Yarrowia lipolytica: one gene and its partner. The protein of the gene in region 1 purifies or fractionates together with the protein of each later gene. This does not show direct contact. Links are inferred from orthologs where the notes say so. Each region holds a gene or a part of one and is shown on either strand. Other genes may lie near its edges. The genes, in order: YALI1_F19478g and YALI1_F39128g.

Region 1 (13,176 bases):
TACACATGCTATGTCACTTGCTGTTCCCTCAAGTACAAGTTGCGATACCATACACGTCAAAATTACGCTGCCACCACCAAAACGCGTACGTTAGTAATTAGGCACTGCTTAAAAAAAGCTTACGTGTACTTGTACTGTAGTGGGGATTAAGGAGTTTGAGAAGTGTTACGAGTACGAGCAAAGTAACTACAATAAAACTGATATATCAAAAGGGCTATAAGGGGGACATCCAGAGGAGGATGTTAGAATTCCTGAGATTTATGGGGCTATTTTGGGAGGACACATGGGACTATGATCGACAGATCAGATACTCGTAAGGAATTCGCACGGCGTTAAGACTCGACAGAGTCACGTGTTCCCTAGATCCTATAGCGTTGTGCAAGGCTGGGGACACACATATATACACAGAGATTACAAACTCGAATAGGGGATAGAATGGGTCACCGCTAGGGTACAGTACGCTGAGGAATTGCAATAGATGTGGACCCCCCACAGCTATTGCTGGAAGTTGTAGACGATAGGAAGCCACGCATTTAGCGTGAACATCTATGACCCAGCCTATCATACAGTATGTACAGTGTACTTGCACCTACTGTATCGATAGTGAAAAAGCGATTCAGCAATCATGGACATTTCACCCTGACTGGCACGACTAACTACGCCCTTGCACACTGTACACCTACATACTGAAAGTATTCACATACAATACGAACCTGTATATACTATACCCAAGCCATGAGATACAGGCTGACATGAGAGATTACCGAAAAGGTATGGATAATTAATTTTTAATTACAAACCACAAGACAGAAAAAACATCCTAAGCCAATGGCCATTTATTCGCGACGTTCATATGTTACAGAAAAAGACACGTGTGAAAACAGCAATGAATTTAAAACTAATCTAGCTACTCATCATCATCTTCATCATCGTCGTCATCCTCGCCATCCGAATCCTTACCCTGATCATCTTGAGGTTTCTTTCGTCTCTGAAAGTCTGCCGTATGCGCTTTCTGCACCATGTTTGAGATTGCCTCCATAACTGGAGTGGCAGTTGCTCTGAGAGAAGGGGTATTACCCTCTTCAACATGCGAACCTCGCTTCCGTAGAGGTGAATCCGTGACACGAGACTTCCGAGGAGAGTCACGCGACACCCCAGGCGATTCCCGTGCCCATTCGACACCAGTGGATGACCCCATTCGGTCACGTGCTTCATCTTCATCCTCATCATCTGCCTGGTGTCCCTCTTCCACTGCAGTCTCGTCCGTCTCACCAGGCTCAGCACAGACGTGCACATGGTATGGCAGAGGTACATCACGAGATGCTCGGAAACGCTTGACGTTACTCACATGCTCGTTCTCCATTCTGAAAAACATCCACATGACTCGTCGGAATATCTCTGACAGAGCAACGAAGAAAGAGAGTAGTTGCTTCTGTTGGATCTGCTGCTCAAAAATGGCGTACCAAATCCAGTTGAATCGGAGCACCAGATCTACCACCATAGCAGTATAATATGGCCACTTGACCTTGTAGGTCAGCTGGTTTCGGAGCAAGAAGTTCTTACTCCCAAACTCCAGCAAGCTCCAATCCATCATGATATCCCAAATGAAACAGTAAGTAGAGTTAACAGTAGCAAAGAAGATAAAAAATGCTCGATTTCCGTTGGTTGTGTCAATTCGCCAAACACTCTGGGCCACATAATACATGATCGTAAGAGAGTACTTCGTCATGTTTGCCAAATGTGGGAAAGCATCTCCTGTGTCTGCGAAACGTCTCAGACATTGTAGCCAACGGAAGATACCCGGGAGAGCATTAAAAAAACCCATCAAACGGTTGTGAGACGAGCCGCAATGGCTAGGATTATATATCCCATGGAACCCTTCTGACCATTCGTGGCTATAGAGACAGAAGAACAGAGCAATGTTAGACATGGAGTAGGTCATAGAGCAGATGATATCTCCCAAGAAAAAATCTCTGAATTCAACGGGGTAGAGTCCAGAGAGAAGGATTCGAGATAGCGCTCTGATGAGCCACTGTCTAGCGCTCCAATAAAAGATGTTTAGAGGCATGAAAAACGTCACAACCGCAAAAACTAGAAAGATGCACGGGTAATAGACGGCCCTGAATGAAGACTCCCAGAACGAGTAAAACGTCAGCCACGCGAATATACTCATGAAGAAGAAATAGAAGGCTGGCATCTCAAAGAATTGCCGATAATCTAAGTGGTCCTGTGAGAACTCGAAAATGAAGGTGTAGTTGATTTTGTACTTGTTCCATACCAAGCAACAAAGGGGGAACAGAAGGAGGAACAAAAGGATAAGGAAAAACCCTGCCCAAATCTGCAGCAGGTATTGGGTGTCCGGAGACTTGTGCTCCACCAAGTTCAGACAGCCTCGATAAAGGCCTTCAATGAAGAATGGGATTGCTAAGCCAAAGAAGATACCACCACGGAAAGTCGCAAAATAGTATGTTTTGTTGACGCCAGTAGACCGTAGCTTTGAAATAGCGTGTTTCCGGTTTCCGCGCTCAAAGTTGTTGGTGTATAGGTCCTCCACCTTAGCGGCCACAATGTCAAGCCGCGAGTTTTCCACATTGCAGAAGTCCGTGTGGTCCACGAGATCCATGTAATAAGCACTCATGTGCCGCCCAGAAATCTTATCGTATTTCTTCAGAATCTTGCGGAAGGCAGTCCGGTTGAGTGTGCAATACGAACGCAAAAGCTCGATACTTCGGTAATACTCCTGCATTGCTGTCTTCAGCTGACGTCGGGCTGACGCGTATGAGATTCCCTCATGGTCAGTAGTGGCATCGTGGAAGTGCGGGTTTTGTCCACGCAGTGCACTCTCGCTGCTCGCACGAGTGTTTTCGGCATCGAGGTCGCACACATCGTTCGAGTCACTCTTTTTCAACCAAGCAAAGCTTGGGAGACTTGGAAGCTCAATTTGACGTTCCACCACACTCAGACCCTCACGTGCAGGCTTATTTGGACGCTGTCGAAGATGCAGCTTCTGTCGCTGCAGCCTCACAAGCTGTCCCACCAGAATTCTGTATCGCTCGTGGGTCTCGTTCATTTTCTGATCGTAGAATTCATTCACTTTATCCAGCTGGGAGTCCAACCAGGCAATGAAGTCCTTTTCACTGTCGTACGGTGCGATCACTGAGAACGAATTGTCCATGACGGAATAATTAGTGTTGACCTCCGGCGTGATTTTGGGTGTTCCAATGTGAAACTTGGCCTTAACAGAGTCTGCTCTACCAGACGAGGACTTTCCGCGGGTGATGATACCTCGATGAGGTGCCATTTCAGGTGTAGTACCGCCCTCGAGTGCAGCCGGGGGAAGCTTCACTGAATCTCCACCCGATGTCGATATCTTGGATAGCAGAATAGGTGTCGGGTGACCCGACTGACCTCTAGAAAGGCGTTCCCTGGACATGTATGATGGACTCAGATTTGGATCATGGGAAGCCACCCCACCACTCTGAGGATCGTGCCTCTCGTGATCCTCCACACTGCCCTCGCGGGACTCAGTAGCCCCGTAGTTGTCGTTTTCCGAACCAGAATTGAAAGGTTCTGTCTCTGAGGGCTCTCCAAGTAATGCGCCTGGCGTTATTCCTGTATTAGGAGAAGTAGCGGCAGGCCGCCGCTGGCGCAACAGTTTTTGGGGATATGCTCGCTTCTCCGGCAGTCTGATCCACAAGTACAGCCTGCTGCTGGGCTGCAATGTTCTGAGGTTCGCTGGGTGCATCGATCTCATCATTGAAGGTATTGTGACGCTTGAGTCTGTCCTTTAAGTCGTCAGGAATCTTCTTGAGTAGTTTCTTTCCCCATTTATAGTCGACATATTGCGATTTCCACTCGGGGACCTGATACTCCGCCAAAAGCTCGGTGAATTTCATAGTAGTCCGTGGGGTTTGGCAGACGAAGTCAATGCGTAACTGTCAAAAGCCTTTGGCCCGTTTCAAGTGTTTGTCTTCCGTTTATCGTCGGTGATGTGATAAAGGCTGAGAATTCATATGGACTAATCGACCATATGTGAGATAGATAGAAGTTTATTTACAATAACCTATCGACTTGGAGTGGGCTCGAGTCACAAAAGGGATACCCTGAGTTAGGTTTACAGTAATTAGTATCGTACTCGTATGTATAGGACTACTCCGCACGAGTACAAGAATCAGATTATATTTACCAGAGGAGATTCAACGGGGCAAGAGAAAATATAATTGGAGGGAGCCCTTGAGGAGAGGTAATATAAATAGTGCTACCCGGTACCAATCAGAAAGCGTGTGATGCTCATTCACTCATAACTACAAGTAGGTGCTCTTTGTACAGAAAGTCTAAAATTCTAGGTGTGATGAATGGGTTGGTTCACGTATGAAGCAGCCCCGGTTTTGCGTGCGAATACTTTTCACCTGTGCCTAAGCATGTAAAGTACATGCAGCTTATGATTTGTTTACCTGACTCTGAATCACACAACAAACGAAGGAGTAATCAGTTCTCACAGATTCTGGTAAAGCTCTCATGAAATCGTACATATGCATTACTTGTACAAGTAAAACTACAGTACACAGCAGTACAGTACAGTACATACAGTATGTACTTGTAGTCCTCTTTGAGCCTTGTCCATGGATACTCGTATGGTTTGGTACTTGTACGATACCAGAGCAGGCTGAAGGTGTACATAAAGCTGCAAGATATCCATACTTCCCCCAAACAACGGCTAGGAAGCAATAGCACCAACGTGGTCGTATATATAGGGCTACACCATTCATGCCTTTCAGCCCGCGAATAGTTCACTGTTTTTCCAAACCTTAAACATCGTGGAAATTGCGGTTACACGATTGGCTGTGATCGCACCTGTAGCCCACATTATAACATTTGTTTGTGCGATGAGAGGGAATACACTTGAGCGTTAGGACCACTTAACTGGTACTACTCTGCCGGCCACAATTATATTAAAAATCCAGGAAGAAGGTGACACAGAAACCTCCTCACCGCAACAAATAATAGTTACATTAATTATCAAACTGTGTTTTTGGGACATGAACGGATGAGAAAAACTACTTGTACAATATACTACAAGTACTGTACTGGGTTGGGGTGTCAACCGCAAACCCATTGCAACTGTGACGATTATATTGAAGCCTGAGGGTGACACACAGTGAATACTTGCACAGTACTTTTTAATACGGTTGCGAATGTACTGTATGTATCGTACAGTAGGAGCAATAATGAAAAGACTACAGAGTACACATACATACATACTCTAGAGTGTGATCATTACAACGGTTGGTAAATTGTGAAGTTATATGCTGTACCTAAAAGTAAATTACTTGTACAAGTAGCTAAAATACAGTACACGTAGATTTACATATGATACTTGATATCAACATTATAAGATGCCTCCTTCGCGTTCCGCGAAACTGAGTGTGTCGTTCCTTCGTGCAAAAGGGTGAGCCTCGGATACGAGTCCAAAACATCAAATGTCACATGACCTATTCAACGTAATATGCAGTACAAATTTTAAGCTTTGCGAGGTTGGGACATGTAACCAAAGCTTTTTTTTATCTGTTCTGCATTTTTGCCTTGACAACACTTGATTCAGGGGATTTTTTGGTACACGAAACCGACCAGACAACAAAAAAAAAAGTGAGTATCTCGAAGCAGATGGGCAAAAGAAACGGATGAACGGCATTCAGTTTCACACGGGTAGACTTCCATGTGAATAACTTGACCTCAACTGTTTCGCCTCTTTCTCAGGCCACGTTGCCCTGCGAGCCTTTACTAACTAAGTGTCTGTACCGGACGAGGTCATCTCGTCTCTGAAACAACTTCTCGTCAACCTCGGATCTCCGTCATCTGAGGTGCGAGTACCCGCAGAAAAAACTCTACGTGATGAGTGGTGTCGACCTCAGCAGGTAGGCATGCTGCTGGTCGGTCTGGCCCAGCTGGCTGCTACTGATTCCGACAAGACTGTACGTTCTTTTGCCGCTATTCTGTTCCGTCGAATGGCTCTTAAATCGCCTGAGGACGTCAAGAACGTGGTCACCCGAACTGTCGACACTGTCCAACCCGAGGTGCGAAGCATGTGCAGAAACATTCTATTGGGAGGCTTTACGCAAGAGACCGACAACTCCACTCGACACAAGCTGTGTGACGCGATGGCGGAGCTCGTGGAGGACGAAAATACCCAGGGCTCGTGGCCTCAGCTGGTCCAGACTCTGTTTGAGGGAACTCAGGCTCCCTCTGGAGGTATTAGAGAATCTTGCTTCCGTCTGATCGCGACCGTGCCGACTGTTCTGAACGAGAACCAGGACATCAATGGTATCATCACGGTTTTCCAGCGAGGATTCGCTGACAGCGACCAGTCTGTCCAGGTCACCGCTGTTGGAGCTTTCACAAAATTCTTCGACCTCTTGCCCCAGCAAAAATGGGAGCAGCTCAACCCCCTTCTACACTCGTTACTCAATGTGTTGCCTCCTCTGGCTGTACCTGATCAGGGGTTGGAACTTACACAAACTCTTGAGCACTTGATGGAACTGGCGGGCCTTGCCCCTAAGATGTTCCTGCCCGTGTTTCCCGATCTTATTTCTTTCTGTGTTTCCATCATCGAGAACGCCGAGATGGATCTCAGTGCCCGACTGTCAGCTTTGGAGCTGTTGACAACTTTTGTTGATAAGGCTCCCCAGATGTGCAAGAACCAGAGCAACTACACTCCTCAGCTCGTTACATGCTGTCTCAAGCTCATGACCGAAATTGGTGAGGACGACGATGATGCGGCAGAATGGAACAACGCTACCGACATCAACGGTGATGCTGAGGAGGAGGAAGCAGATGTGCGAGCACGACAATCTCTTGATCGACTCGCTCTTAAGCTCCACGGAAATGTCATTCTCCCTCCCCTGTTTGAGTACGTTCCTCCAATGACTTCCGGTACCTGGAAGGAGAAGCACGCAGCCCTGATGGCTCTATCCTCTGTTGCAGAGGGTTGTGTTGATGTCATGATCAAGGAGCTTTCGCAGGTCTTGGACATGGTGTTGGGCCTACTGAACGATCCCCATCCCCGAGTTCAGTGGGCTGTCTGTAACACACTGGGCCAGATTTCTACAGACTTTGCACCCACCATCCAGAACGAGTACCATGCGCGAGTAGTTCCTGGGTTGATCAGCATTCTTCGGGGCAAGTTACCTCCTCGAGTCCAGACTCACGCCGCTGCAGCAATGGTTAACTTCGCCGAGAATGCCACAAAAGAGGTGTTGGAGCCTTACCTCGATGATCTGCTGAGCTCTCTCGTCACATTGCTCAACAGGCCCCAACGGTACCTCCAGGACCAGGTGCTGACCACTATTTCGACTATCGCTGAGTCTTCGTCTGAGAAGTTCTCAAAATACTACGATGAGCTCATGCCGCTGCTCCTCACTGTTCTGCGAACGCCTGCTACTGACGAAACACGAAATGTAAAGGCTAAGTCTATCGAGTGTTCTTCCCTCATTGCTGTGGCAGTTGGAAAGACCCAGTTCATCCCCTCCTCTATGGATCTCCTGAAATGCTACGTGGACATCCAGGGCGAGCTCGATGAGACTAACAACGAAGACGACCCTTGCCAGTCCCACTTGGTTCTAGCATGGAGCCGTATCTGCAAATTGCTTGGTCGTGACTTCATGCCCTTTTTGGATGTCGTAATGCCTCCTCTCCTGAGAGCTGCTTCCGCTAAACCTGATATCAATCTCATCGAGGACGAAGGAGAGGTCGATGCTGTGGCTCAGCAAGAAGGTTGGGATGTTATTACTCTCAAGGGAAAGCATCTCAGTATTCACACTGCTCCCCTAGACGACAAGGCACAGGCCATTGAGCTCATGGCTGGATACGCCCAAACTCTCAAGGACTCGTTTGCTCCTTATGTACACCAGATCCTGAACGAGATTCTGGCTCCTGGCATTGTCTTTTTCGTTCATGACGGTGTGCGTTACGCCTCTGCTTCTGCCATCGGCCCATGCCTGGAGGTGGCAAAGCAGGTCGCACCTGTAACCACTAACCACCAGAACATGCTCGCGGAGCTCTTCAGCCCTCTCTTCTCTAAGCTCATCGAGGCCATGCAGGTGGAGCCCATGGTTGATGTTCTCGGCAACTTCTACACTGCAATCTACCAAGCCGTGTCCATTCTAGGACCCAACTCTATGACACCTGGTCAGATGACCTCCCTCTGCAAAATCATCTGCAAGAATCTAGCTGATTATATCGAGCGTGTCAACGAGCGCAATGCCGATGACAATGACTACACCGAAGAGGACGATGACGGAGAGGAGGAGGAGCACGACGAGTATCTCATTGCTGAAATCAACAAGTGTCTGCATGAGGTTTTCAGACTGATGAAGGACCAGTTCAAGCCTTACTACGAGGCCGAGCTGGAACCTCTTGTCCAGCAGTTTCTTACTGGTGACGCTGACCAAATTCAGTTCTCTATTTGTGTGCTGTCAGATGTAGCCGAGTTCTGTCCCGAATCAGGCCCTTCTGTTCTGCAGACTATCGCACCCTTCATTCAGTCGGGCGACTCGAATGTTCGACAGGCTGCGTTGTACTGCGTCGGCTGTGCTGCGAAGTCCACCAGGGACTCCTTGCAGATGTTGGAGCCTCTGTTTGCTATTGCAAACAGTCCTGACGCCCGCGTGGATGAGAACATCTACCCTACGGAGCATGCCTGCTGCGCCATTGCCAAGATTCTCAAGCATCATGGATCTGAGCTCGGTGGACAGTCCAATGCGGCTTTGGACGCTTGGGTCAAGACACTACCCATTCTTTGTGACGAAGAAGTTGCCCCCTTTGCATACCGGTTCCTCGTGGAATTAATGCGGGCGAACCACAAGGCAATCAATGACAATGCTGTGCATGTGCTTGATTCTGTTGCCCAGACAGTTTTCAACTCTGTGGTACAGGGCGAGACTGCACGAGTCTTGGTCGACGCTACTAAGACTTGGCTGCAATCTCTGGGAGAGGACCAGGTTCAGCAAATGGTTCAGCAGATTGAGTCTGAACAGATTCAGTATGTTGTCAAAAGTTGGTTTGCATAGTTAATAGATATTGTATGATGATATACATGTAGCTAATTGTCCCGGAATTGTATCAGATATCGTACATAAGAGGTACCGGTTACATACGGTATTGTACTTCACTTGTAGTTGAACTCGCACATGCTGTACCTACGTCACGAATATGGGAACAACACTATGTATAGTAAAGTACATACTTGTGCGAGTTTCAGAGAACCGTATGTCATGGAATGTGATACATAGCTACAGTACATGTACAGTACCCATATCCTACACACTCGCGACGGTGCTACCAGATACGTACCTTTTGCTCCATTTGATCTATGTGGGGATAATTCTTCAGCCGTTCATTCCGGATATGCGGCTTCAGACTTTGGTCGCATGCTATCGGGCGTGCCACTGCGGGTGCTGTGACAAACAGCGTGGTTTCTTTTGTCGTCAGGTGGCTCATCTGTTATTCTGGATGTGCGATCGTCTACGATAACATTATACTATTGCCGAACACAGCTGAGGCCGGATAGTGGTTAAATATTTACATCACATAGTGGAGGACAGGCTTTTCAAACACATACAGGACGATAGCAAGCTACTCTTTTGCGCCTGCCCTACTCATACAAGCACTCTACATCGGTTATCGGTGTGCTTGCTCTCAGCAGTGCCGTGTTGATTCTTATGCCACGAAAAAGACCGGAAAGTTTCGGAATGGGTCGGCTCCTGAAAATGGATCTAACAGGAGTCTGTGTGGAGAAAAACAAGACGATGGGGAAAGCTTGTGAAAGACAATGACAACCCCACTTTTATCTCATCTGCATTGGACACTAACAGTCGAGGCTTAATAATAACACGGAGCGGTTGTACTTGGGACGATGGAGTTCACGGTCAATCGTATGGATAAGTCCTACTTGTAAGAATCAAATACATCTTATAACTCAAAAAAAATCTACTCAAAAATTTGCTGCTTCTTTGCTATTTCTAGCTTCTTAGTTTTTATCGGCTTGGTAATATTTGTTGCTTTGCTGATAACCTGTCTACAAATTCTTGTATATGTACGATACGAATATCAAAACTTTGAACTTGGTAATCACATGGTGAAGATAGCAAAAGCAAGCTTTGAATGATGGTGCGATCACGTTGTGCTTATTTCAGATAAAAGAGACAGTGTGATACGATTACTTCTGGTCTAAGTGGTAGTCCGAACCATCACCATTACTGTATAATGCCAGTAGCCGGGAAAAAAACTGATTGTACAATGCTCAATACCCTGCAGGAAGCTATACGTACATAGCCGTTGTGTACAAGACAAGCGGAGCAGATTATTCAAAACAAGCTTCTGATAATATAATCTTGTTTGAGAAGCATCAAGTTGAGACCACGACAGACTGCGATAACTTTTGGTTATTCTAAATTAGTGGCTGTCATGTGAAAAACCGAGGATGTTATCCCCAGACAGTACATCACTGGACCTTTTTGCCGGTCGAACTCATCACACTGGTGTCTTACTTCCACTCCCACATTCTGGAATATCACGTCACATCGCACATGCACCCCAGAAACCAAGGTGCATGTTGATGGCATCGTGCTCATACTAAGACCAATCGAAGAAGCAACATGGACAGATAAAGGTCTATCTATTGGTCAGACTTTGAGGGAGTGTCAACCGGTATCCAAGGGGCTTTCTCTGGTAAGAATTACTTTCATTCTGCTGCAAATAGCCGTTCTCCATATAATAAGAAAGCCCTCACTTTGTTAGTCCCCCTTCCAAACCTTCCGCACATGCATGCACCCGGATATCCGAACATCCGGGTGGTATATAAAACCAAGATGATCTCCCTCACTTGCTCTAAAAAAACAACACTGACATCTTCACTACTGGGAAGAGTCAAATTTTCTTGTCACACCACACAATCGCGAGTACACAACCGCAAGCACCCAAACACACAAACACACGCCACGTCGCTATGCCCATTACATTCTTGCCTCTCACCTCCCCTGTTGGAAAGCCTTACGTCCCTAAGCGTGATCACGTCCACCAGTCCAATGACGTTGCTTCCGAAGGGGCTTTTACTGCTGTGATTGATCCCAAATCAACACGATCTGACTCTGAAGCCTCCGATTTGAACGCGCCTACTCAGTTCCGGGCAAGAACCGAATCCAGCTGAACAGTGCTAAACATCTTGACTGATACTATAGATTATTTATTACCGATTTCACTTGTGTTGCACTACAGTACAGTCACATGGTAATACCAGTAATAGTAGACGTACTGGTTTTCAACTCACCTATATACACTACTTCTAAAAACGACCAATGCCCAGGGATGAGGCTGTACACGTTACATACTCTCCGCCATTGAAGCTACAAATGACCCAGTAACCTCGCTTGATACCCCCGGATAGTGCCATGTACTCGGCTTCAACACTTGAGAGAGCAATCAACTTCTGTTTTCTTGATCTCCAACATGTGGCGAGGAAGTTCACAGCATGACATGTCAACTATTACAGTAGCCTGGACTAGGTAACACAATTCTCCAATTCGCCATCAATAGATAGATGGAGGCAACGGTTGTTGGTTGGATTCTTACTTGATCCTTAGGGTCAGTGTTCAAAGTAATTACCCGGTAGGGTAGTATGTACTGTACATACCTGACTAATTCATCACATAATGATGAGAGGAACCAGCCTTGTTGTAGACGAGATGTCCATCCTGTAGATTTTATCCACTGATCTAGAATCCCTTTCTGGTGAATGAAGTAGCACACACCTTCTGGTGTGTGCTACTATTGGAACGTGGTATCCCTAGAAGTGGGTTGTAAGTCGTTACATTAACTATATCTAATCAATAATACTTATGATCTTCAATACAAAGGGCCCATGTATTATGTTATAAAAATAAAAAAGTGCCTTATTGAGTAACAGGTATGTTGAGTTCCGCTTGTATCAGTTTGATAGGGATCACCTTTTCAGTCCTGGAATGTGTTCAGTGTTGGAAGTCGCTATTATGTGACCTCAAGTCTCAAGTTTATATTAGCACGAACATTGATTGATTATGGGCACAACAGGGGGGGGAAAAAAAAAAGGGCAACAGTAGCGGTAGTCAGAGTGTCATTTAAATTATCTAAAAAAAACCAATTCAAAGAAAGACAAAAGTTGAAACGGATCATTGGAATAAAAACAAAACTAAAAAAAGTCATCTTTAAAAGAAGTTGATTTATTTAACGCCAATGATTGGACTTAGTAGGTATGATCATTATAATGGGAAAAAAAAACATATTATAGTTGAGACGCAGACAATCAACTTGCGCAGATATTTGAGACAACAATAACGGAGCACCTGAACGTGCAGAATCCGATCATCTGCACTGTCGACTACTTGCATTCATTAGTGTTCCAAGTTACTACTTGGAACACCCCCTTCTTACAATTTGTCCATGGAACACTTTTACCTCTAGTTATATTATTACCTTCACTTATCCTATCTACTGGGCCAAGTCGTAATACAGCAACATTATTATCAGGCAACTACCTTCGTCAACTAACTACATAAGGCAACGGCATTCCTCATACCTAGCGATTACAAAATTACGCGCGTGTAGACGATCTACATATTACTGAAAACAGTTACATACTACTAATCAGTCTAAGTGTACCCTCAATTCTTACTTTTTACTCTCACATTTATTGTATACACATAATATATATATATATAACATATATACATATAAATTAAAAAACCATCAATTCACTTACAGAAAAATTTTCCTAAATTGGTAATTTTTCTGAAGTGGTGTCACTACTTATTACCCTACTAAATTAAGAATGCATAAAATAAGAAATAAAAGATTTTATGTTTGGGTCAACAGCTATCTTCCCACTCGGCGACCATAATAATAAAAAAATCACAGAAGTCCACTGAGGACAATCAACATATTACAGGTAAGATTTTATAATAGTTACCAAATTAATATATAAAATGCGTAGATAATAGTACATATATTAGATATTTTATTTATCAATTGGACAACAACTTTTAATTATTTCTTGAATTGAAAACAGAATTTTTAATTTTATTATGTTGGATTTTTTAATTTCGTTTGAAACGTTTTTCTGGGTTTCTTTTTACAATATAAATAATG
Region 2 (10,934 bases), about 2.0 Mb from region 1:
ACTACGATGAGGACGACTCTGAGGGGTCCGATGAGGAGGAGCAGGACGTGCTTACAGGCACTTCTCTGAGCGAGGTGCTTCAGCGAGTCACCCAGTACTCCAACAAGGAGTCCAAACTGCTTCGACACGGCGAAATAGAGGTTGCTCGACTTCAGGACGTTAACTTTGCTGCTCCTTCTCGAGCTGCCGTGGAGGGTCTCGCTTTCCACCCCACACATTCTCTGCTTCTGACTGGAGGTTTCGACAAGACTCTGCGACTATACCAGGTGGATGGCAAGAACAACCCTGTTGTCACCACGCTCTTCATGAGACATACTCCCTTTGCTCACGTGGCCTTCCACCCCGACGGCCAGAGAGTGTATGCTGGTGGCCGAAAGCAGAAGCATCTGTACATCTGGAATGCTGAGAGTGGAAAGGTGGAGCGAATGGCACATCTGTACGGCCATGGTGACAAGGTGCGATGTTTTGCGCAGTTCAAGCTCTCACCAGACGGAAAGTACCTTTGTGTAGTTGGAGTGGACGGCTGGCTGGCCATTCTGTCGGCTACCTCTGGACAGTGGATCGACGGCTGTAAGATTGAGGGCGACGTTGCCGACTTTGTGTGGGACGGTGGCTCCATTATTGCTGTCAACACCGCTGGACAGGTGTGGGAATACAACGTGGAAAGCCGTTCTTTCACAGCTACTTGGACCGACGAGGGAGGAGTTGGCATCACGGTGCTGGCTATCGGCGGCAAGGCTAACCAGTGGCTGGCTATCGGCTCCGAGTCCGGCTACGTCAACGTCTACAACCGACCCAAACTTGCATTGGAGATTGCTAAGGGCCAAAGCCCCTTTGTGCCCCAGAAACCCACTGCGGTTCTCTCTAACCTAACCACCCCCGTTTCGTCGCTAGTCTTCTCTCCCGACGGACAGATGCTTGCCATGGCCTCCGACCAGAAGCGAGACTCTCTCAAGCTGGTCCATGTTCCTTCGTTCACCGTGTTCAAGAACTGGCCCACTCAACATACTTCTGTGGGAGTTGTCACCAGCGTGGCCTTCTCCCCCAGCTGCGAGTACCTGACTGTAGGTGCCACCAACGGCAGAGTCCGAATGTTCCAGCTCGCCCACTACAAGCTTTAATAGTATAGATGCATATTAGAAGATGTTTATAAGAGAATCTGAGTAGAAGGGTAAGTGTATATACTGGGTCTAGTTGGGGAGCGACTGAGTACTTTTTACCTACATTTCGAAGTAATTTAGTAAACATTAGTTGCACAGTCCGTTTAAAAACTCTATCTAACTTAAGCTCATCTATCGAAATATTTTTGCCCGACATGTACCTTAAAATTATTCTGCCAAAAAGTATACCTACGCATTTCATACTCATACACCACTTACAAAAATGACTACCCCCGACCTGGAGGATAAGTCCTTCGACTCGTTCGGCCTTGATGACAGACTGTTGTCCGGCCTGGCTGCCTGCGACATGAAGCAGCCCACTCTCATTCAGAACACAACCATTCCTCTGGCTCTGGACAAGGGCGTGGATATCACAGCCAAGGCCGTCACTGGTAGTGGCAAGACGGTGGCCTACTTGCTGCCCATCTTCGAGCTGATGCTGAGAGCTGAGAAAGAGAAACGGGATATCCAGACTGCTCTGATTGTGGTTCCCACGCGAGAGTTGTGTGAGCAGGTGTCCAAGGTGATCACCAAGCTGACCCAATTTTGCCCCCATCTCAAGTCTCTCAACGTGACTCAGCAGCTCGGAGACGACGTTATTTCTTCTCTGTTGGAAGAGAAGCCCAGCATCATTGTCGGAACACCCTCGAGGCTGCTAAAATACGCCAAGGAGATGGACTGCTCCAAGGTCGGTTATCTGGTCATCGACGAGGCAGATCTGCTGCTATCCTACGGCTACAAGGAGGATCTTATCGAGCTGTCGGAGATGCTCCCCAAGACTAAGCATACCTTCATCATGTCTGCAACACTCAACAAGGAGTCCGATCTGATGAAGCAGCAGTTCTGCAGAAGCACTGTGGCTAGTGTTGCAGTCACCGCTGCTGAGGAGGAGAGAAAACTGCTGCAGTACTACGTCAAGTGCAGCGAGAGAGATAAGTTTCTGCTGGCCTACGTCATGTTTAAGCTGCAGCTGGTCAAGGGCAAGACCATTGTCTTTGTCAACGAGATTGATCGATGCTACCGATTGCGTCTGTTCCTGGAGCAGTTTGGAATCAAGGCCTGTGTTCTCAACTCCGAGCTGCCCATCGCCTCTCGTCTTCATATTGTGGAGCAGTTCAACAAGGGTGTTTTCAACTTGCTGATCTGTACCGACGAGGCCAACAAGCTGGCTGAGGCTAGTAAATCTGCATCCAAGCAGACCAAGGAGGTGTCCAGAGCCCATGAGTACTCTTCAACTCGAGGTCTTGATTTCATGAACGTGGCTTTTGTGCTCAACTTTGATCTGCCTCTTTCTAGCCGAGCATATGTCCACCGAGTGGGCCGAACTGCTAGAGCCAACAAGGCCGGTACCGCACTGTCTTTTGTTGTGCCTGCCGACCAATGGGGCAAGGATAAGGTGGCCAAGCTGGATACTGCTAAGCGAGATGAGAAGGTGCTCAAGAAGATCATCAAGAACCAGGAGTCACAGAACATGGAAATCAAGCCCTATTCGTTCGACATGAAGCAGGTGGAGGGCTTCCGATACCGAATGGACGACGCTTTCCGAGCCGTCACAACCGTGGGTGTTCGAGAGGCCCGAGTCAAGGAGATCAAGACCGAGTTGCTCAACTCCGAGCGCCTGGCTCGACATTTCGACGAAAACCCCGACGATCTGAAGGCTCTTCGACACGACAAGGAGCTCCACACATCCAAGGTCCAAGCACACATGAAGCGGGTGCCCGACTACTTGTTGGGACGAAAGGGTAAGCTGGATCCTAATGTGTTTGTGCCATTCAGAAAGGATGATAACAAAATCCACAAGAAGTATACCAAGAAGAAGAAGGGCGGCGATCCCCTCAAGTTCAAGAAGCGAAAATAGATGATATAGAATGGAAATGACAGATTACATGGTATTGAAATAGCGGGTGTCTGCTACAAGTAAGCGGTGTGTTTTCAAGACTACAGTACACATACTGTACATAGATATATGCTGGTGTTGGTTCTGTAAGTGAGTTGTGTTATAGTCACTTGTACCAGTAGTAAAAACTTGTGGTACAGTATGTATGTATATACAGTATATTCTAAGCTATTCTATATTTGTATTGGTACGCTACTGTACATGGGTAGGTCCGGTCCAATTCTTCGTATCCTCAATTAATATCCGTTATTAAATTATGTTGTGCTTTATTCCTACTTGGAAACACTTCTAACCCAGTATTCACTGGCACCCTCCTCTCTCATCTTAATATACTGACGAGACAACAGCAGGCCGACTTGGTACAGTTCTCGTTCCACGGCCTGCTTCTTGGTTTCCAGGTCAGCCAGATTCTGGGTCAGATTCGTCGACCTGCCTCCAGTGTTGGCAGAGAAGTTTTTGTATGTCGTGGTCGGCCCCATCTTCTTGATGAGATCAATCTCCACTGTGATTGCACGTGACAACTCAAACAGCTTGTCCGACTGCTGTTGCAGCTGGGCCACTCGGTCTGCCCGTGATGCGTGCGACTCCCTTGAGCTAATCGATGCACTGTCCGAGGCGGCTCGTGGCTTCTCAGCTGCAATGCCTCCATGTCCTTCCTTCTTGCTCTTGACCGTCTGTCTTACCAAAGCGTCAAACTGTCGCTCGATCTCCACCTCCTTCATCTTGATACGAGCATATACTCCGGAGGGCCCCGAGTTGTTGTTGGGTTTCACCTTTGCCCGTGGGTCGTGCGTCTGTGGTCGAGGAGCCACCGTGGGCTGTTGTGGCCGGTGACCGAGACCATGTCCTATGCCTGCATTCTTGTGGAAAATGCCCCGGGTGCCTGTACTAGGTGGAGCCAGTCTAGCTACTGTGGCAACGCACACCTCGGCTGAGGTGTCTGGCGAGTCTAGAGACACATCTCCGTCTTCCTCGGCGTCCTCGAAGCGGTCCAGGTCTGAGTCTCGAAGTGTAGATGTGGAGGAGGAGTTCTGTAAACTCTTGTTATGCTGTGTAGTTGGTGCAGCCCGTTGTTGGGCATGTGTTGTTGTCGTGGTCTGATGATGTGTGTTGAAAGGGACAGGGCTTCCAGAAGGCTGTCTGGGCTGGTTCAGCTTCTTCTCTGGAGTCGACGTGCCCCCGGCGGCATGCAAAACGTCTTCGGGGATGCAATAGCTCTCGCTGGCGACGGTGTTGAGCGTGGAGGACGAGTAGTTTGGCACCGCTCTCATGAAAGCTCTTCGGCGCTGTTCCGACATGACAAAGGACTCATCACGGGTCATTTCGTAGTGCGACGTGTCGTCGGCGCCAATAACGAGGGCGGCTCCCACGGTTTGGGCCATTGGTCGTGATGGCATCTTGGTTGGGGTTTACGTCTCGTCTCTTCAATCTGCTTGTGATGATTGACACTCTCACTGTTTTGGATTCAGAGCGCGAAACGCGCCTTTAGGTTTCAAATGCGATGAACAGAGTTGGTTCCCCTACCTTGAATCGCTGGGTGTTAAAACCAAGTCGTATAAACCACCCTGGCAGGTGTTGAGAGAAGAATAGGTGAGACTCGTATGTAGTATGGGAGAGAGAGCTCAAGAGGCATTATATCATATAGCAGGTCTGGCACTTGACCTGCAGCATCGCATCCTGCAGGAATCCATCACCTGGGTCTTAGATTATTATTCTCCTTCCCATGCAATGTTGTGGTTGTATTTTGAAATGTTATTCTGAGACTTCTGTCATACCCTTTTGAGAAGTCGGGGTTGGGGTAGCCCAGAACTTGCCCAGAACCTGAATAGCCATTTGGGTCACGCGCCAAGTGCAGCAGTCATGCACTAACGTTTAGTTCCTAAAATTTCAAGTGCGTTTTTCAGGCGCAAAAAATAAACTGACCAAGCTCTATAATGCAGCGACTATTGAAAAAGGCACTGAAAAACAGCGCAGCGGGCGAGGCTGGAGCACCACTGGAGCGCACCGACACCCGCTCCTCGCACGAAACGCTCTTTGACGACAACAAGTCCGCGGTCTCCACGCTGTTTGAAACCCCTGAAGGCGACCCGCGAGAACGGGATGTCTACAGCATATACTCGGCCATGTTTCGACATGGAGTGACCGTTTTTGACGATGGCCTCAAAAAACCCATTCTGTCTGTGTCCACGCATTTCTTCGGCAAGACCTACATGGAGATTTACCGGCTGGACGATAAGCAGAGCCCAGGTAGCGAGGCTGTGTCAATGTCTGGAACCGAGTGCTACAAGTCGCTTCTGTGCAGTGTGACACAAAAGGTACTTGACAACGACCGTATCGAGTACATTCTCACCTTTGTGGACAGCGAGCGGGACAACATCACCATGGTTACCCATGGAACCAGGCGGGTGACTACAGCTTCTTACGAAGGCGTGCAGTTGCAATGGTACGGAACGACGGGCATTGCCAACACTTATGGCTCTGGATTCTTTCATCTGCGGCTTGTTGACACCGAACATACTGAGAGACAGGGTAATGTGCTGCCAGACTCAGACACCCTCTGTGGTCCTTGCATAGGAGCCTACAGTTATCTGACTGAGGGCAGACTGAAGAAGCAGCGCCGGGTTGGCGAGTTTAGCATTTTCAATGGTGGCACTCATCTTTCCGAGGTCATCCTACTCATGGGACTGGTTCTGCGAGAGGGAGAGATGCGAAAGATAACGGAAAGTACACGAGCTGCCAATGCTGTCACCAGCAAGGTGTTTTTGTAAACTGAGTGATGAAAACGGCATGGTTGAAACAATAGTTTGGTAGCTACCGTGATGAGCTCCGTCTCTTGCGACAACCAGGATAGCAGCTTGGGCGGGAAAAAGAAGAAGAATGTGGATTGTGGTGGCTTTGAGTGCCTTCCGCCGATAATGTGAAACGAATTTTTATTATTAATGAGTAAGACAGACAGACTAATATATCTGAATACTATGGTTGGTTGCCTAGGGTTGTGTGGATGGTCGTTCCCGTTCAGCTCATGGCCGAATCAGGTATACTCGCTTACATAATCATTTTGGGTTGCATACAGGCATCTCGGTGAAGCATGATTTTCGACTTTACACTCGACCGTCACAATGAACTCCTTTGCCCCGGAATGCACTAAAGCCAAGAAGGAGTACGACAACTGCTTCAACAACTGGTACTCGGAGAAGTTCCTCAAGGGAGAGTCCATGGAGAACGAGTGTGCCGATCTGTGGCACGAGTACGAGGATTGCGTCAAGGTGAGTAGGGAGAGGGAGAGGGCAGCCTGGAGATGAATTAGGATCGATTCAGGAGATCGGTACCCGGCGTACCACTCACAGTATTTACTAACCCAGGCCGCTCTTGCCAAGAAGGGTGTTGGAAAGATGATTGACGAGGCTCGAAAGCAGGCTCCGTTTGAGAACGGCGGCAAGCTCGTGGAGGAGGATGAAAAGAAGAAGTAAATGTATATATTAATTGAACGATTCTGCTGGCCAAGATGTGAAAAAACGAGTTTCTCACTTGTATCAAGTCTGTGTTAGTCAGGCTTTTCTCTGTAAGTGTGCAAGGGTGTCTGTGAGTTACGGGTGAATTTTTTTAAAATCTAGTAAAAGGATGAAGTTCGACAGATTTTATAGGGAAATCTAAACACTTTCTAACGATTTATAAAAAGTCCTCTCGCCGCAAGAAGTCATCGGCCACCTTCCAGTACCCCAAACACACCTGTGTAAGTCACTGCAAGAAAACCTCGCCACGTGACAAACAAGGTTTTGCAAAATCGTCGGTTGGAATATCAGACTCTATCACCACACATACACGACCATACAAAAATGCTGTCTCTGATTCAGTCGCTACGGCCGACTGTGGCCATGAACAACGTGGCGCAGATGTTTGTGCGAAACACTTGCAAGTCCGCCCATGTCAAGACCAAAAAGGCCGTTGCCAACCGAATCAAGATCTGTGGTAGTGGAAAGATCACCAGAGTGAGTGCCACAAGGATGGAGAGGAGGGGAAATAAGGAAAAAGGAATGCTGGGAGCGACTCCGATCAAGCCATGATAGAGTGGATAGCTGATATTTCAGTGCCGGAAAAGTTTTGCCTCTGATCTGATCATGGCCTTATGTTACACAGCTTTCAAGCTGAGATGATTAACTGTTTCAGCAGCTAGAAGAGATACCAGACACGGAACTACCTGTCACAACCAGGCTGATTACGCACACTGCGTTTTTTTTGTTTTTTTTGTTGCTTACCAGGCACTCAGATCAAGCAAGACACTCATAACCTCTTGTAGCTGAACACATCAACAATGACAACTTCCAGATCGCCACTAACTCAGGGAAAAACCGGACGAAAGCACGGAAACACTGGATGGTCCGCTGCTCTGCTGCGAAAGAAGACCGGTATGACCGAGCTCACCGGTTTCCAGAAGAAGCATGTCAAGAAGTACGTGCCTTTCAAACAATCCCCTTAATGTATATAGCAATTAGAACCCTCTTGGATGCACGAGAAGTCTGTACAGTACAGACGGATACAAGTTCGTAGTGCACGTACCGAGCTGTTTAAATTAATTGATGTATTTTTCTGTATAAGATGTAATCATTGCATACTCTGCAAATAATAAATAGGGCGCGCGGGGTTTAGATCACGGTTTTGATGGGACAGCTAGGCCGTGGGTAGGTACAGCACTTGTACTCAGGCCGTGGTGGAGACGCGGTACTGCGAAAGTACCAGCGATATGAATGTCGTAAGTATCATACTACAATTGTAGCAGAGGGGGGTTACTGGCCAAGCAACAACCAACCAATAAAATAGACACCATAACCCATCATTTCAACAGCATCCACAGGGTTAAGGCTGGACAGACCAGAGTCCCACTCAATGGCAGACTCACGAGGAGCATACTCTTGTCGATCTGAAGAGGGCTCGTTGGCCAAAAGACCGACATTTTTTTCAGGCACAAAAGGCTTGAGCTCCTCGCCAGTCAACCAATAATGGAGTCGATCTCCAAATGCTGAGGCGTTGGACTCGCGGTTGCACTGTTCAATCACGCTTGTCACTAATTGTTGTTTGTCGGCGTCACAGATATCGAGCATTTGTGTTTCTTGAGAGTGTTTTCTGATTACAGCGGACCCAGGGGCGCTTTTTTGATTATATATAGCCTTACAGCCTTTCAGAGACTTTCGTCGCCATGCAACAAAGACAGGACCAGTAAGGTTGTTGAGTGCACGTGACCTCGGGTCCACGAACGTCATGGGGCAAAACAAGACTATTGCAACATAATTATAAGGGGTAGATGCAGCTTGCGAGTTCCCCTCCTGCTTGCTACGTGCCAGTGCAACCTCTGGCGTGTTATTCTTCCACATTTGCTCTTTGTGGCGACCAGTAGCGTGTAATAAACATTCTGGGGTAACTGTAAGCGCTGATATGGAAATGTACGATACGATAGGGTATGTAGGGTCCATGTAGGGTCTTACAGATAGCTTCAACAAGTACTCGTACCAGGCGCGATACTGCAATAACAGTGGATATTTCTCAACAAATCTACTGTAGGTGACACACACACTCACGTCTGCGTCTCCACATGACAAGCATCACTGTTAATCTATGTTCCACTTGATTATGGCTTTTGCCACCAGGTCTTGTTGGGTCATGTCTTGTGTACTTTTAGCTCTCCATATAATAAATATATTGGGGTAATCCTCAAGGTGGAGAATGTGGGGTGCCTGAATACATGGAGTGAAAAGTCGTGTGACCAGTTGTCGTTGGCAAGATGATAAGATCGGTGATGAGTCCGAGCACTTAATTGCGCGGTAGTGTATTGTTCTACAAGTAGCACAACATGTCATACTACGATTACTACAGCCTCACTCCACACTACATAACGTACAGTACTGTACTTGTACCCGTGCCATAGACTACAAACAATAACACCTCTGTAACTAAACATGCAATCTATACATTTTTGGGTCTCTATTTACTCTTGCTTTTCAGCCTCGTTCACCTGCTCCTCGACATTTTCATCGCTCTCCTTGACTCGCTTACCGTCCTTATAACTGTATCCAACCCACTCATTGCCCTCCTTTTTGATCTCCGCCGTGGGGAAGTAGTGGTAGTTCATCTTCATGGAACACGCAAACGCCACGTTGTCAAACGTGACAATACGCAACTTGACGTAGGTATTGTCAGGGATCTTGGTCACCACAGACAGGAACGTCTCCAGATCAGGAGTGGCGGTGCCGTTCACGTGAGTGATGAAGTTGGTGGGCGCAATCAAGTACTGGTAAGCGGGAGATCCCTGGGCTCGACTGGACACGTAGACGCCCGAGTGGATCTTTTTGATTTGCTGACGAACAGCATGGTGGGGGGTCTGCAGAACAGCTCCGCACCAGAAGACGGCCTGAGAGGTCTCGAAAGCCGAATCCGTGGTGGGAGCCTGGATCTCCTCCTCCTTTTTGTTTCGCACCAGCTTGATGGTCACCTGCTCCTTGTCGCCGGCCTCGCTGAGCGTTGTCAGGGTCGTCAGCAGCTTGCCGTTGATGGACAGCAGAATGTCTCCCTCTTTGAGCGCCTGGGAGTTGCCATTGATGGGTGTAGCGGTTCGAATGACCTCAAACAGCTGGTGTCGCTGCGAGTTGTCCTGCTCAACGGCAGCAATCCACTCGGGAGACACGCCTCGGATTCGAGCCTGGATCATGGACACAGAGGCGATCTCAACGTCCAGGAACCGCTCCTGGGGAGGCTTTCCGGCTCGGATTCGCTGCACGGTCTCCAGGAAGGTGCTGGTGTCGATTCCGAGTCGGTACTCGTGCTGACGGCCCTCGGTTCGCTCGCCCATGCAGGACAGCCAGAAGGCTCGCACAACACCAGTCTTGGGATCAGCAAGAACACCGGCAGTGCAGCCATTGGGAATGGTGGAGTCCACGGTGATGGCGTCCAGGTTGAGAGCTCGGTAGTAGGGCTCTCCGGCATTGGGAGGGATGGTGATGGCGGTCACATCGGACACCTTGGTTCGGGTGGTCACCAATCGAAGAGACAGGTTATGGCCCATGAACAGCACAGGGTCTCCCTGCTTCAGGGGAGTGGAAGAGAGCTTGGCGGTCTCAATATCGGCATGCACCAGCTTGGGGTCGTACTGCAGAATGGCATAGTTCTGCAGAGGGTGCATGAAGACGACGGTTCCAGGGACAACCACGGACTCGGCGAAGGTCACGGACACGTTACAAAGATCGTAGGGGATGATAGATCGAGACACGAGCACCAGACCCTTCTCGGCATCGACCACGAGACCATGTGACTGTCGCATGGTTCGGGGGAAGCCGTCAATCTTGTAGGGGATCATACAAGAGACCCGAACGAAAGATCGGGACAAAGGTGCACACGCAGCATCAGCCTCCTCCAGATTGGGATCTGTGAAGGTGGCTCGCTGGGGCACAATTTCGTCCTTCTTGGGTACAGGGTACTGTTTACTGAGATCGGTGAAGTCCCACTTGCCGGTGGTGTCGTTTCGCACCGCCAGACGGAAGCTAGAGTGCCACTTCCGGTCAATGTAGGTGATGGTGAAGTTGGTGGTGTGTAGGTCTCTCAGATGTCTGTATCGGATCGAAACTCGTCGGCCGTCGGGAATAGCGGCAATTACTTTGATAAAGGTATCAAGATCGGGAGTGTCGATATCATCGATAGAATCGACCACCCAGCCCTTGGACTCATTACCCTGTCCGTCAAGTCGGAATGAGCCTCCAACCTCAGACACGTAGACGCCGCGCACAGGAATTGCGTAGATTCGAGCCAGCTGGTATGACAGGTCCTGGAAGCTGGCACCGCAAACCTCAACGTATCGATCGGGGGTGATGGAGTGCAAGTCCTGAACATAA

What was found.
Region 2: the proteins of YALI1_F19478g (region 1) and YALI1_F39128g purify together in Saccharomyces cerevisiae (affinity purification with mass spectrometry, with the first as the bait; 3 studies listed by BioGRID). This does not show direct contact. The link is inferred for Yarrowia lipolytica from reciprocal best matches to the Saccharomyces cerevisiae genes PSE1 and DBP9.

The regions. Positions count from the first base shown.
Region 1 is NC_090775.1:1,940,587-1,953,762, reverse strand, and holds YALI1_F19478g (uncharacterized protein), read left to right. Parts: upstream 1-5,921; coding exon 5,922-9,065; downstream 9,066-13,176. Other genes in the region: YALI1_F19500g (uncharacterized protein), read right to left, coding at 908-3,757. UniProt on the Saccharomyces cerevisiae protein: Functions in nuclear protein import as nuclear transport receptor. Serves as receptor for classical and arginine/glycine-rich nuclear localization signals (cNLS and rg-NLS) in cargo substrates.
Region 2 is NC_090775.1:3,911,458-3,922,391, forward strand, and holds YALI1_F39128g (uncharacterized protein), read left to right. Parts: upstream 1-1,383; coding exon 1,384-3,018; downstream 3,019-10,934. Other genes in the region: YALI1_F39108g (uncharacterized protein), read left to right, coding at 1-1,121; YALI1_F39159g (uncharacterized protein), read right to left, coding at 3,330-4,454; YALI1_F39164g (uncharacterized protein), read left to right, coding at 4,992-5,825; YALI1_F39176g (uncharacterized protein), read left to right, coding at 6,177-6,323, 6,420-6,527; YALI1_F39183g (uncharacterized protein), read left to right, coding at 6,894-7,046, 7,400-7,534; YALI1_F39199g (uncharacterized protein), read right to left, coding at 7,842-8,525; YALI1_F39236g (uncharacterized protein), read right to left, coding at 9,038-10,934.